2 linked regions of the Macaca mulatta genome follow. The protein of the gene in region 1 binds, or shares a complex with, the protein of each later gene. Links are inferred from orthologs where the notes say so. Each region holds a gene or a part of one and is shown in the gene's direction. Other genes may lie near its edges.

Region 1 (4,391 bases):
ACAGGTGCCCACCACCATGCCCAGCTAATTTTTGTATTTTTAATAGAGATGGGGTTTCGCCATGGCCTCCCAAAGTGCTGGGATTACAGGTGTGAGACACTGCACCCGGCTTCCATTTTTAATTTTTAATTTTTATTTTAGAGATTCTTGTTCTATCACCCAGGCTGGAGCAGAAGTAGTGCGATCACAGCTCACTGCAGTCTTGAACTCCTAGGCTCAAGCAATCCTCCCTTCTTAGCCTCCCAAATAGCTAGGACTACAGGCACATGCCGCCATGCCCAGTTAGTCCTTTTATTTTTTGTTGAGACGGGGGTCTCGCTTTTGCCCAGGCTGGTCTCAAACTCTGGCCTCAAATGACTCTCCCGCCTCTGCCTCCATCTCCTGAAGTGCTGGGATTATAGAGGTCTCCATTTTACAGATGAGAAAGCTGAGGCTCAGAGCTGTAAAGTCAAATGTCCAATGTACAGAGGCCAGGAGGGAACTTCAGGTCAGCCAGACTCTAATATCTGAACACCAAGCTATGTCCTGGGCTCCTTCCATGAAAACAGAAAAATCAAACTATCTGGTGCCTGGGGCAGAGGAGTTGGGAGAGGGAGAAGGGGCCCAGCCACAGTGCCATAAGTGCCATAAGCTTACGGCTGCGGCCCTGGATTTGTGCTTAGCTCTGGCCAAGCTGTTAATCCCTATGACCTTGGGCAGATGTCTTCACGTCTGTGAGTCTCAACGTCCTCATCTGTACAATGGAATAGAGTCTGGCATGGCCCGACTGATGCAAGGGTTTGATGTGTCAAGTCCGAGGACTGCCCCTCCCCGACTGGAGCAGCTGTGGCAACAGGTGGCCCCGAACCTGGGGCAGGGCCCCAGGAGCTGGGGAGCCAAGGCCAGTAGTAGACCACACTTGAGTGGGGTTGGGGCCTCACCTGGAGGGGGGGCGGGGACCGGGGTTTACCTGGGGGGCGGAGATCGGGCCTCCCTGGGGGGTGGGGCCCTTCCCTGAGTGTGTGACCGGGGTGGGGAGGGATCCCCAGGTCGCGCCGTGGGGCGCAGACTCACCTGGCGGGCGGCCGCGGCGCCTCTGCCCGGGGGTCCCGGGGGTCCTTTCCTCTTGTGCATCTTCCAGGCTGGATGCCCGAACCACCTGCCCCCAAGCCCGGCCTTGCCCTGCCTCCTTCCCCGGGCCCTGTCGCCGCGCACGCGCCCTTCCTGAGTCCTGCAACCCTCGTCGGCGCTCCGCGGCCGTCGATCCCGAGCCCTCGCCTCCCTGCTTGGCCGCCCCACTTCCGCCTCGGGCCTCGGGCGCCGCTGCACCGGAGCGCGGCCACTGGACTCGCCGGGTCCGCCGAGCCGAAACTACAACTCCCGGCAGGCAGTGCGCGGGCGCGCATGCGCTTCGCAGGGCGGTGCTCACAGTCGCGGGCTGCGTGGGCGGTGCTTGCGTCGCGCATGCGCGGGGCGGGGCCTCGCGAGGCGCGGGAAAGAGGCAGAGCGAGCGCAGGTGGGAGGGGCGGCGACCTGTGTGAGGTTCACAGCGTCCCTCAGTCACCGATAGGCTCCGGCTTCACGTGGGCGGAAGGACTCACTGTGAGGACTCACTGTGGAGTTTCGGTGGTCGACGTAGTGTTAGTGTGGGGCTTGTCACCGGGAGCGGGGTCCACAGCGCCCACCCTCAGGCCTTTCCATCCTTCAGCTCCCGACTCGAGGCCTCCAGGCTTCTGTGAGGGCCAATTTGGCCATTTATTTTTTCCAAAAAGAGTAAACGCTGATAATTCAACCGACTTATTCCCAACGGATCCAGGCAGAGTTCGTTTCTGATAAGGACAGAGGGTCCTCAGCGACTTCTGCGGCCCAGGTCCGTTTTGGCTTGCGTGGCCCCCAAGGCTGGGAGAAACCGGCCTGTGGCAGCTCTTGCCCCTCCAAGGATGCAGCTGTCCCCTTTAAAATGGCACGATCTTGGCTCACTGCAACCTCTGCCTCCTGGGTTCAAGCGATCCTCGTGCCACAACCTCCTGAGTAGCTGGGATTACGGGTGTGTGCCACCATGCCTGGCTAATTTTTTTTTTTTTTTTTTTTTTTTTTTTTTGAGACGGAGTCTTGCTCTGTCGCCCAGGCTGGAGTGTAGTGGAGCGATCTCGGCTCACTGCAAGCTCCGCCTCCTGGGTTCAAGGAATTCTACTGTCTCAGCCATCCGAGTAGCTGGGATTACAGGTGTGTGCCACCACGCCCAGCTAATTTTTGTACTTTTAGTAGAGACGGACGGGGTTTCACCGTATTGGTCAGGCTGGTCTGGAACTCCTGACCTCAAGTGATCCGCCCACCTCAGCCTCCTAAAGTGCTGAGATTACAGGCGTGAGCCACCGCGCCCAGCCTAATTTTTGTATTTTTAGTAGAGAGGGGGTTTCACCATATTGGCCGGGCTGGTCTCCAAAGGCCCCAGAGGCCCCTGGAGAGTCCTCAAGTGTCCTTGGAAGGGCCCCCAGATACCCTAGTCGGGAGGGAGGGTTCACACAGGCTGTTTCATCCCAGGGACCAGAGTGTAGGTCCCCGGGGCTTCCCATAAGGACCCCCGAGGTCCCATTTGTCTTTCAGGTCCTGGGCATAAGATCTTTAGTTTGGAGGAGGTTTGAATTCCTACCTGGCCATGGTCCAAAGTAGCTGTGACTCTGTGTCCCACGCTGTGTCCCAATGGGAGCCATCTGACCCCTGGGGCAGCCACATGAGCCGAGGTGGAGGCGGGGGTAACCTCTGCTCTCAGCCAAAGCCACTGGATATAAACAGAGACAGGGACTGCTTATAATGATGAGAGATTTTGCTTGTTTTCAGATTTCTCAAGGGGAAGATAAAATGACAAAGAGGAAGAAGCTGCGGACCTCAGGTATGTTCATTCAAATGAACACTTCTTGATTTCTACTTGTGCTCGTGGGAAGAATGTGGGCTTGTGTATTGCAGATTTGGCTAACATGACCGTCCCAACCTCCTTAAAAGAAAATAAGGATTGGCCAGGTGCAGTGGCTCGTGCCTGTAATCCCAGCACTTTGGGAGGCCAAGCGGGCAGATCACAAGGTCAGGAGTTTGAGACCAGCCTGACCAACATGGTGAAACCCCATCTCTACTGATAATACAAAAATTAGCCAGGTGTTGTGGCACGTGCCTGTAGTCCCACCTACTCGGGAGGCTGAGGCAGGAGAATCACTTGAACCTGGGAGTCCGATGTTGCAGTGAGCTGAGATGGTGCCAGTGCACTCCAGCCTGGGCAACAGAGCAAGACTCTGTCTCAAAAAAAAAAAAAAAAAAAAAAGAAGAAGAAAAGAAGAAAAGGATTTAATTCAAATAGAAGGCCAGGTGTGGTGGCTCACACCTGTAATTCCAGCACTTTGGGAGGCCGAGGTGGGCAGATCGCTTGAGTCCAGGAGTTCGAGACCAGCCTGGGCAACATAGCGAGATCCTGTCTCTACAATGTAAAGTAAGGAAATTAGCTGGTTGTGGTGGTGGCAGGCATCTGTAGTCCCAGCTACTCAGGAGGCTGAGGCAGGAAGATCGCTCGAACTGGGAGGTGGAGGTTGCAGAGAGTCAAGATCGCACCACTGCACTCCAGCCTGACTGATAAGAGTGAGGCCCTGTCTCAAAAAAGAAGGAAAGAAAGAAAAATAGAAATAATGGAGAGGGCATACAGGAAAAGTAAAAGTGAAAGTTTTCTGGAGCTTCTGCAAGCCTCTGGTGGGGTCCCACAGCTTAGAGGAGGCCTCCCCAGGCTTCAGGGCAGTGGGACAGCCTCCCTGCGGAACCAGTACTAGAGATGACCCCTGGAATAATGCTTGATGTACTACAAGGCTACTTGGCATGTGGCTGAGTGTTTTACTCTGGGGCCCAAAACCTGGGTTCATCCCAGTTCTGCTCACTGTGTGGTGGTGGATGATTTCCTCTGTGCCTCAGTTTCCCCTTTTGTAAATTGGGGATAATAAAAGTCACCACCCTTTCCTTTAGAGCAGTGTTTATCAACTAGGTGACAGGAAGGGATTTTGACCCCCAAGGGATAGTTGGCAATGTTTGGAGACTTTTTTGTTTTGGAGACCAAGTCTGACTCTTGTCCAGGCTGGAGTGCAGTGGCGAGATCTTGGCTCACTGCAGCCTCCACCTCCCGGGTTCAAGTGATTCTGCAGCCTCAGCCTCCTGAGTAGCTGGGACTACAGATGTACACCACCACACCTGCCTAATTTTTGTATTTTTAGTAGAGATAGGGTTTCACAATGTTGGCCAGGCTGGTCTCAAACTCCTGACCTCGGGCGATCCGCCTGCCTCAGCCTTCCAAAGTGCTGGGATTGCAGGTGTGAGCCACTGTGCCTGGCCTAGAGACTTCTTTTGGTTTTCATAACTGGGGAAATGATACTGACATC
Region 2 (3,808 bases), on another chromosome or scaffold:
TAGATTTGCCTTTTCTGAATATTTTGTAGGAACAGAATTATATAATATGTAGTCTTTTGCATCTGGCATACTGTTCTGAAGGTTTATTCGTGTTATAGCATACATCATTTATTCTTTTTTATTGCAGAACAAGATTCCATTGGGTAGATGTATCACATTTTCTTCATCCATTCACCACTTGATGGCCGTTTAGATTGTTTGCAGTTTTCTTTTTTTCTTTTCTTTTTCTTTTTTATTTTATAGATATAGGGTTTCGCCATGTTGGCCAGGCTGGTCTCGAACTCCTGGCCCCAAGTGATCTGCTCGCCTTGGCCTTCCAAAGTGCTGGGATTACAGGTGTGAGCCACCTTGCCTGGCCTGTTCCAGTTTTTGACTGTTATGAATAATGCCACTACAAACATTTGTGTACAAGTTTTTCTGTGGTCATATGTTTTCACTTTTCTTTTCTTTCTTTTTTTTTTTTTTTTTTTGAGACAGGATTTCGCTTGGTCACCCAGGCTGGAGTGCAGTGGTGTGATCTCCACTCACTGCAGCCTCCACCTCCCAGGTTCAAGCAATTCTTCTGCCTCAGCCTCCTGAGTAGCTGGGATTACAGGCGCGCACCACCATGCCAGCTAATTTTTGTATTTTTAGTAGAGACGGGGTTTCACCATGTTTGTCAGGCTAGTTTTGAGCTCCTGACCTCAAGCAATCCACCTACCTCCACCTCCCAGAATGCTAGGATTACAGGTGTGAGCCACCACATCCGGCCCTGTGATTCATTTTGAATTAACTTTTTTTTGCATATGAATATTCAGTTGTTTTAGCATCAGTTGTTGAAAAGACTATCCTTTTTCCATTGAATTGCATTGGCACCTTTGTTAAAATCAATTTTTTCAGTGTTTCACTGATCTATATGTCCATCTTTATACCAATGCCACACTGGTTCTATTTTGGTAGTTTTATAATTAGTTTGTTTTTTCCTCTAAATCAGGCACTGTTAGTCTTCTAACATTGTTCTTCTTTTTCAGACAATTTTTTAGATATTCTGAATCTTTTGCATTTCCATAGAAATTTTAGAATCAGATTATCACTTTGTACAGAAGTCGGCTGAGATTTTGATAGGGATTGTGTTGATCGGTTTGGGAAGAATTGACATCCTACCAATTTTTGAACATGGTATATCTATTTAGCCTCTTCTTTACTTTCTCTCAGTAATGCTGTGTAGTTTTCATTGTATAGGTCTTGCACTTTAAAAAATTATTCTTATTTTTGATGTTACTGGGAATGCTATGATTTTGAGTTTTTTTGTTTTTTTTTTTTTTTTTTTTTTTATATTATTGTACTGTGTGTGGAACCCTGCATTGGGGAATATCCTCCTGCACCTACCAAATGTGACTGTAGTGAGGAAAGTCCTGCCTGGTTATTCTCAGTAGTCTTTTTGTGGTCGTGCAGAAGAACCACCATACCCTGACTAATTGAGACGCAGACTGCTTAAGTTGTGAGAAAAGCTAGAATTCCAAAAGGAAGTGCTGTGACATAGTTTTCTTGATGTGTCACCATGATTTGTGTTCAGCTGCATACACTGGAAGGATGAATCTAGGAGTCCAGATTGTTGTTATAATGAAGACATTAAAAACTCAGAGTTGACAGGTCACATGATGCAGTATTAGCATGTGCCAGAGGTTCAGTGGCCGTTTTTTTCTTAAATACATGTGTGTGTATATGTATGAATGTGTATGAATCTCTGTGTGCCAAATGCATTGTCTCCAGGTAACTATGAGTGGGCCACCCTAATCCAAGTTACGAGGTCAACAGTATTGATTTGTGGCCCCAAAGCTCTCTTTTTCCTCCAGGGGGTGAAAAGCCCCCTCTATTTTTGTCTTGTATTCATCTCTGTAAAAGAAAATCTACAACATTTAATATACTTTAACTTTGTGGTTTATGTAACTCATTATATTTGGTATACATGAATTTGACTAGGGTTTTGTATTTTTCAGTTTTTGTCTTATTAAATCAGGAAATGCTATCACCTTTTGAGGGAATTTTAGGTACCTGGTGCTGGTGGTTGGAGAGGACAGAAAGCCCCACATCACTCCAGTAGTGCACTCAAGGTGAATCCTCCAAGTGTGCTTGTGTTGTTCAGGAGGGCCATCAGGATGGCCATTCCCTGTGTTTCCCCTGTGAAGAGAGCCATGGCGGAGACTTACCCAGCTACAGGTCACCTCAGACACTGCTGGTGGGAGAGTAGGAAACTCTTCCTAGCCTCCATCTTATTGTTAGACTGGCACTGGCTTGCTGCACCAGGGCATGAATAGGACTCCCAGCCTTCACAATTCTTTTTGCCCCTCCTCTCATCTTTCCTACCTGGTCTTAGGTTTTAGGTTTTCTTTCCCTGTTTAGCTTCACAGATTATATTTTATGTTTACTGGCACTTGTGGCAATATTCTCATGAGGACTTAAGGATATGTTTATATAGAATGAGTTTTTCTAAAGTACTTTTTTTTACAAATCCTGATGTCCAAGTGCCTTTTATTTGGCGTCTGCCTCTGGCAGATGGTGTTTTTTCAGTGGAGTGAGCCATTTGGAGGAGGCAGTCTCCTGTCTTAGAAATGTTGCTCTCTGGGTAAACTGCTTTGTGAGGTTGTTTTTGTTCAGAAGCCTCGGTTGGTGCTGGTTCTGAGTATAGTCACTTGGGGCTTGAGATATTTCATGTAGTTACTTAAAGCAGATGAATTCAGCTCTGTGGGTTTATCAACCAGAATATAGTAGTATGTTCTTTCCTCAGATATTTCTCAGATGTTTTTGCCTTTGAAATTTCTTCTGTAGATATAGATTATGGCTCTCTTAGGACTGGCTTTCATTTGCAACTATTTTCTATAATTATACATGCATTTCTTTAATAAATACCTTTGTGAAAGAGGAAATGTAATAAAGATATGTCACGGTTGAATGCTATTATTTATTTTTCGATTTTGCTTTGCTTTCAGGAGAAACTGGCTCTTCGACAGCAGCTGAATGAAGCGAAGCAGCAACTTCTGCAGCAGGCAGAGTATTGTACAGAAATGGGAGCAGCAGCTTGTACCCTCTTGTGGGGCGTCTCCAGCAGCGAGGAAGTCGTCAAGGCCATTTTGGGAGGAGTAAGTATGGTCAGTGGGCTCTCTAGATATTGTTGATTAATGCTTGTATAACTTAGAGCATATAGCTTATTAAGGCATTTAAAGACTAAGTCCCTATCTTTCCATTTTCTTGTGTTCGTTCATCAGCTAGTTATTGAATACCTATCGTATGTGGTTCATTGTAACCTGATGCAAAGTGAATGAAATAAGCCCCCTTCTCTCCAGGAGACCTTGTGGTATATGTGGACATATTACCACTTCAGTATTAATACTTTATATGTGTTTAATAAGATCAAAAGTGCTTTTGTATATATTATCTCATGGTTAATATAGTATTTAATTTATTGAATATATGTTCTCTAACATATACATGTATATAGATGTGTGTGTTTGTACACACACACACGTACATATAGATGCAGTTGAACCTTGAGCAACATGGAGGTTAGGGGCGCTGACCTCCTGTGCAGTCGAAAACCACATAGAACTTTTGACTCTACGGTTGGCTGGAAGCCTTACTGATAACATAAATAGTTGATTAACACATTTTTTGTATGTTAGATCATCATAAAGATCTTCACCCTCATCGTCTTCAAATTGAGTACATTGAAGAGGAGGAGGAAGAGTTGTTGGGTTGGCCTTGCTGTCTAAGGGGTGGTAGAGGTGGAGGAGGTGGAAGGGGAGGCTGGAGTAGCAGACACACTCAGTGT

The links.
Region 2: the proteins of BRME1 (region 1) and HSF2BP are in contact, whole or in part, in a crystal structure (PDB 7Z8Z), measured with the Mus musculus proteins. The link is inferred for Macaca mulatta from reciprocal best matches to the Homo sapiens genes BRME1 and HSF2BP. Residues at the interface, in NP_083321.2 of Mus musculus: Met541, Gln542, Asp543, Ala544, Thr545, Val548, Arg549, Leu551, Val552, Leu555, Ser556, Asn559, Ile562, Met563, Thr565, His566, Leu569, Lys573; in NP_083178.1 of Mus musculus: Glu23, Phe24, Val25, Lys26, Val27, Arg28, Asp31, Leu32, Arg34, Leu35, Glu38, Val39, Gln41, Ile42, Phe45, Leu46, Arg48, Ile49, Glu53, Leu54.

The regions. Positions count from the first base shown.
Region 1 is NC_133424.1:14,493,078-14,497,468, reverse strand, and holds the start of BRME1 (break repair meiotic recombinase recruitment factor 1), read left to right. Parts: upstream 1-1,443; coding exon 1,444-1,581; exon of another isoform or gene 1,582-1,849; intron 1,850-2,820; coding exon 2,821-2,872; intron 2,873-4,391. Other genes in the region: CC2D1A (coiled-coil and C2 domain-containing protein 1A), read right to left, coding at 1,054-1,113. UniProt on the Homo sapiens protein: Meiotic recombination factor component of recombination bridges involved in meiotic double-strand break repair.
Region 2 is NC_133408.1:3,902,977-3,906,784, forward strand, and holds part of HSF2BP (heat shock factor 2-binding protein), read left to right. Parts: intron 1-2,969; coding exon 2,970-3,128; intron 3,129-3,808. UniProt on the Homo sapiens protein: Meiotic recombination factor component of recombination bridges involved in meiotic double-strand break repair.